Linked DNA regions of Bombyx mori. The protein of the gene in region 2 purifies or fractionates together with the protein of the main gene of each other region. This does not show direct contact. Links are inferred from orthologs where the notes say so. Each region holds a gene or a part of one and is shown on either strand. Other genes may lie near its edges.

Region 1 (2,775 bases), on a different chromosome or scaffold from region 2:
TTTGTCGCAAATTTTTAAAAGGTATTTGTCATGAGGATACTTGTCTATTATCTCACGATATAACAAGTGAGAAGATGCCTACATGCTATTTTTATCTTAAGGGAATGTGCACTAAAGAAAATTGTCCCTATTTACATGTGAAATTAAATAAAAACTCTAAACTGTGCTCAGATTTTCTTAAGGGATATTGCGAAAGAGGAACAAAATGTGAATATAGACATGTAAATATTACCAATCAAACAAAAAAACGATTGATGAGGACAAAACAAATAACATTGTTAAAAGTAAAAAATCAACATACGGAAAAACCAAATAAGAATGAAAGTGTTGAAGAAAGTCAAAATGAAAGAAATATGGATTGCAGATACTATCGGGACATTAAACCAAACTTCGAAGATACCAAAGCAGATTGTGGCGTAATAAAACCGATTCGATGTAAGCTAGGAAATCTGCCGTCATTCATTCAGTTTGAGTGAAACTCACTGTTAATTTTATTACTATGTAACTAATAATAATTATTATTAATTATAATTAATATTATGGTGAAATAATTTAGTGAACTTCAATGTAAATACCTAATAATCGTTTAATCTTGAATAAAAATATTTTGCAACAGTTGAATTTTATTTTCAAATTATTTATTTTAAAGCCATCTAATCAGTACTAAAGTATTTCCATTATTTAAAAGCAGCGAGATGCTTCTACCTGATACAGTTATTTAATTCTTGAACCATTTCGGAACTTTACTGCTTTTAGATGTAGTTGGGGAGTTCGTGTGCGAGTTGTGTATTTCTTCCAACTTTCTCCTACTCGGAGCCCTGTAATTAGTCAAGTATTAAACAATGTGCTTCACTTCTAATTTGACACTTTGAAGTAAGATGGGATTTGTCGAGTATTCCTTACATTTTTTTACATTGCATTACATTCCTTAGTAAAATAAATCTTACCGATATTTTGAAGCTAAAATACTAGCAGCATCACTAGTAGTAGTGTTGGAATATATTTCTTTTTTCAAGTATAAGGAATCTGGATTCTCTTCCAACCATTTGAAATGCATATGCACACATGGCACAAACCTGGCTTCAAGCAAAGTCATCTTTGGTTCTAATGTTTCTTTTAGAGGTGTTGTAACTGAAAAGATAATATTCACAATTTTTTTTTCAGAATGAAACCAATTATTTAACAGAGAGGGTAGGTACAATTTTTCTACATAAACATGTGTCACGTGTTCAAATGATCTCTATAATTAATGAATTTGCATAATTACTAATGGTAGGGCGTATTATGAGCCGTACCATGTTCCTATTTTTGCCGAGACGTACTTAGCTGTTCTAGTTTGAAACCTAAGTATTGCGACTTAAACGTCATGACTCACGATGGATCGCGTGACAGTGCCGTCTATAGATCACGGTAACAACCCACCGTTTTTAGTAAAAAAGCTGTAATTGAAAAAATAATAAATTCGTTTGACTCACAGATATGAAATGGTTTTTCAGGATGCGCTAAATGTTCCTTCAGAAAATTTGTGACATCCTCGATTGTGTCAGTAGGAGCGAAAATACCTTGTAGAATCATATGATCGGGAAATTGAATTCTAACAACGGCATTCTTATATTTGTTTAATTTGACTGTTTCCGTAGTCTGAAAATTATAAACTCATAATCTATACTATTATTTAAATATTAATTAATATTATAAAGCTGAAGAGTTTGTTTGTTTGAACGCGCTAATCTCAGGAGCTACTGGTCCGACTTGAAAAAATCATTCAGTGTTAGATAGCTCATTTATTGAGGAAGGCTATATAACATAACGAACAATACAAGCGGAGCACCAATAAAGAATGTTTCAAAATCGTTTTTTTTTTCCTGTTGAGAGCTTCCGCTGCATGCACTGCGGAAACGGTTAAAGTTTCGCTAAATTAATGTATGACAGAATTTTTCTCCTTTAAAAGATCTAAATAAATTTCGCGACAGCATATGTGTATAAGTTAAGGTTGGCTCACTATAACGTTTTTTGTGTTAAACAAATTTGTTCTAAAATAAAGCATTTTTTGTGAAAGTGTTTTTATAAAGAATATATTAATCCTTATCCAAATAAATACGTTATTCATTACAACATTGAAACACCTAAATCACTTCAAGTCTATCACTTTGAAAATTACAGATTTTTCTGGATTTCTCCAGGACCCCATCATCAGATCTTGATGATTACAGGACCATTCGGAAAGTCTACTCTTTCGAACAAAAAAAAAGAAAAAAGAATTATCAGAATCGGTTCAAGCATTTTCGAGAAATCGCTGAAAATACCTACATAATTGAAAAAATGATGGTCGAACTGATAACTTCCTCTTTTGAATTCGGTTAAAAAGCGTGATTTCGGTACCTTAAATAGCTCCTTAACATTCTATTAATCAAAAATATATATAAAAATATATACGACGCGGACGAAGTCGCGGGCAAAAGCTAGTAATAACATAATTGTCCAATAATAGATATTGTATATACAAGAAGATTCAAATTAAAATTTACCATAAAGGTGGTTTTATGTGTACAATAGCGAAGGAAATACCACGTCGTTTAATCAAGTCGTAATGGGCATATTTATTTAAGTGTTGGAATTCGACGTACCTACATACGAGGGTTGTTTTCAATAAATAGTGATAATGCGATACATTTTCTTTGGAAAGAACAATCCAGGCGCTTAGTAACAGAAATCGACACAATTAACTTCAGTGCGCCGCGTAGGGCATCGGTGACTCACGTGGCAGTAAAATGG
Region 2 (3,763 bases):
ATCTCACATATAGTTTGCAAAGTTCATGATTATATCTGAGACAGATATTTACAAAATCTGGATTGATAATGTTTAATAATCAAAGTTTTTCGTGTTACAGCATATGTAACACAATGGAAAAAAAATTACAGCATAATGTGAAACAATAAAAAATCTGATGATGAAACAGGTCAATGCTCCCACAGTCTCATGTGATTCAGGTAATTGTTACTTCCAAAAATAAATAATTAGGTCCCAAGAGAATATTCTTTCTATCATTGTAATAGTTTAAGCTTTGGCAATCATGAAAGATCACTAAAAACATGAGATGAGTTTAAATTTAGAATTCTACAACTTCTTTTAAAAAAGAAGGTGTAGAATAGTCTCAATTCATACAATCAACACATAATGTTGTACGTGCATTACTCAAAATCCTTGTAGCTATTTAGAACATTTCTAAATAAATTTTACTGTATACTTGGAATTTTAAACAGTTAAACAAGCTAACTATTGTTGTGAATGAGTTATTCTACACAAAGTACCCTATTTTACTAGAGTTAATCTCCTATTTTACTTGAGTTAATCTTAGGGTCTACTATGCGTCATGATAATCGCATTATCGTTGCCGCCGCTGACTACTACTCCCCCGAATCCTGATCACGCAGGAGCCAGTCACCGTCGACGCCCTAGACACGTCCTTACGGATCCATCAGATCCAATAACCTTTGCATTAGACGCCTTCAGCTCGAACACTAGGAGCAGGCTTAGGGACCCCGGTAACCGTACTCGTCGAACTCGACAAAGAGTTCGCCGTGCAACCTAAGCCATGAATCAGCTCGCTGAGTTTCTCGCCGGATCTTCTCAGCGGGTCGCGATTCCGATCCGGTAGTAGATTCATTCGCGAAGCAGCTGCTCTTGAGCTGTTAGGTCTCCTTCGGAGGTGCTCGGATAGCTGTTAGCAAATCCCACCCCTCCTGGCTGAGCCTTTGCTCGCCCACCTGGCCTGGTGAAACTGGAAAGGCCTCCGGGCCACCAGTGATCCTTCAATCATAAAAAAAAGGGTCTACTGTTGAGAATTTAGATAATATAGATAATAGATAATATACACTTACTTTTTCTCTATTATTATTACATGATTGTATTATAAGACACGCAGTCAGCCCTCTCTCCTCCTCAAGTTGCTCGTAAAGGAAAGTTTTGATATTCTTTTTCCACTCATCACGGGGTAATATATCGTTGCTTATAATAGGACACCTGTGGAAGTAATTTTAATAAAAAACGTTACTAAATTAAATTTGCTCGAGATTGTATGCAAACCTTGCTGCATAAGAACATAAAACTTTTAGGTAATAAATGATTTTTAGGTCTGCTTCAGTAAGTATCTACAGTCGGCATCGCTGCACCACTTTGAGAAGGCGGCACGAAGACTCTCAAGGCTATTACAGCAGTTCTATGTTATGTTCTATGTCCATTGATTTTGTCAACAATGTAAAAAGATACACAAATGATAATATTTTTGGTTTAGACTAATGTTACCAATATGTCATTATTTTTATAAAATGCTGATGCATATAACTCATGCCTATAGGCATTAACTGAATGTCTTCTTACAGTACATAATCGTGTGCATATCATATTATATGTGTAAAAAAAACTTCAGTATTACTTGAAATAAACACCACTTGCGGCAAAATTCTTCGGTAAATCCTCTTCAGTGAAGCTCTTTTGTGCCTCGACTGGTGGTGTAGCTTCTGAACTAGATGCCTTTTCATTTTCTAATTCTTTCCTTACTTGCGCCTATGAAATATAGTTTTTTTATAAATATACTAGTTGTACCTATCCGCTTCGCTAGGCATTTAAAATTGAGTGCAGGAAGTCTAACACTCATATAAATATCAGCCTATCCATTAAGACCATGTATTTTCTACATGTATACCAAGTTTCAATTCAATCGGATGCATGGTTCAGTAGTTATAATGGAACATCCGCAAAAATCACTGTAGATTTATATATTATAGTATATAGAAATACATTTACAACTAATCTTTTATCCTGAAGGAGGCATTTTTCTTTGCATTTTTACTATAAGTAAAATTAGAAAGATAAAACATACTAATGGAACTCTGCTGTACTTCATTTCCCTTCATTTAAACTTACAACTAACTTAAGTTTATTTTGACCTTAAGCTTATCAGTATAAAAACAGGAAACACGTTTCATCAAGAAAGCACATTCTTTAAAAATATCTTTGTAGGAAAATTAATATGTACCTGGATAGCAGCTAATGATGTATTAAAGCCTGGGTTTTCTCTCTTCTGATTGAGTCTAGCTAAAGCAGCCTCAGCTGCAACTTTGCTTTCCTCTGAAAGCCCTGATCTTTTAACAACTGGGACGTCTTTTTTCACAGAATCGTGACTGCTTGTCGTTGACTCAGTCAATTTATGACCTCGACCGGCCAATTTGAATTTTGCATCGACTTTCTTCTTCTGGAAGAACTTTTTTATCTTGTCTGCCATTTTAAATTCTTGGAGTGTGCTCTTTAGGTAGCTTCAGTTTTGATACACTCTCTTTGAGTTGTTCTATTGTGGCTGATGTAGCTGTATAAGTTTATTATATGTTAAAAACAAATTTTATTTAATATTGATACCTATATTTTAAAATTTGAGACATCTTATAGATTATATACTTATATATATAAATATAGAGTATGATTGTGAAAAAAATCTGTATATTGTACCAATTTAAATTTATCATCATTTTTCACTTAGCCAGCAAGACCTCATTCCACTGTAACTGTCGCTAAACATCTTTGAAACATCTGTCCTATCCCATGAATAGTGTTGAGGTAGCTCAAGTGACATCTATTGCGGATAGGTGGTGCTATGTCATAAATCTCAAATGACAACAATGCACAAAGCATCACAGTTATCTGATAAATTATGAATATACATTTTCTTTGAGTTATATTGTTGTACTGCTTTATAATGTAAATATTATTGTTATTATAATAAAAGAGGAGCATAATTTGAGCGACATGTAATAATTATAAAGTAGAATGTGCGAAATTTTTAAGTACTGTTCAATTATTATTTCTATAATTGGACCGTAAAGTTCAATGATCCAGCGATCCTTTATTAAAAAACAATAATAACATGACTCACCCGGTTTCATGAACCTCTCGGAAATTCTTTTACCGTACACTCGCCACGACAGACAAATCAGCAATAAAGTTATAAACAATATCAATAGAAACGTTTTTAATAATAGTATTTGAAACTCATTAAAATAAAAGGCTTCCGCTAGTTCACCGTAAAACGTGAATTGATCTAGATTTAAGAACGATTTGGGAAAATTATCGATAGGAAGTGATGAAAAACACGATTCAAAGAAGTCTTTTGCAAAAGACAAAGTATCCTCGATTTGAAGATACAGAGCTTCGTATAGAGTGTTATTAAAAACAGCGTTGTCGAAAACGGACATTACATTGGTTTTCTTTATAAATTACCTACATAAAGGAAAATTGTTAAATTTCCACGGTCATATTGAAAATTGCATACCCCATAGATTATACACTTAATATATGCATACCCTTTGGTTGGCCTTTTGTCAAATTCCACAATTGTCAATTTGTCATTATGACAGTTGATGTTTGTGATAGGTGTTACAAATGGAACATCAATTCTAGGAGCTCCGAGAAAAATTCCAAATTACTAACCAAAAAATAAAATCGATTCTAAATTCAATTCGATATATGAACAATTTTATTTATTTCAAATAATTCAAGA

What was found. Proteins that work in one complex are often made in the same cells at the same time.
Region 1: the proteins of UBX domain-containing protein 6 (region 2) and tether containing UBX domain for GLUT4 purify together in Homo sapiens (affinity purification with mass spectrometry; 4 studies listed by BioGRID and IntAct, counting the BioPlex papers as one, with this or other methods). This does not show direct contact. The link is inferred for Bombyx mori from reciprocal best matches to the Homo sapiens genes UBXN6 and ASPSCR1.

The regions. Positions count from the first base shown.
Region 1 is NC_085117.1:12,221,890-12,224,664, reverse strand, and holds the end of tether containing UBX domain for GLUT4, read right to left. Parts: intron 1,642-2,775; coding exon 1,476-1,641; intron 1,132-1,475; coding exon 948-1,131; intron 819-947; coding exon 719-818; 3' UTR 569-718; downstream 1-568. Other genes in the region: zinc finger CCCH domain-containing protein 3, read left to right, coding at 1-476. UniProt on the Homo sapiens protein: Tethering protein that sequesters GLUT4-containing vesicles in the cytoplasm in the absence of insulin. Modulates the amount of GLUT4 that is available at the cell surface. Enhances VCP methylation catalyzed by VCPKMT.
Region 2 is NC_085134.1:4,053,328-4,057,090, forward strand, and holds the start of UBX domain-containing protein 6, read right to left. Parts: upstream 2,495-3,763; coding exon 2,249-2,494; exon of another isoform or gene 2,248-2,248; intron 1,777-2,247; coding exon 1,646-1,776; intron 1,234-1,645; coding exon 1,092-1,233; intron 1-1,091. Other genes in the region: uncharacterized protein LOC134198725, read right to left, coding at 2,496-2,575, 3,140-3,458. UniProt on the Homo sapiens protein: May negatively regulate the ATPase activity of VCP, an ATP-driven segregase that associates with different cofactors to control a wide variety of cellular processes.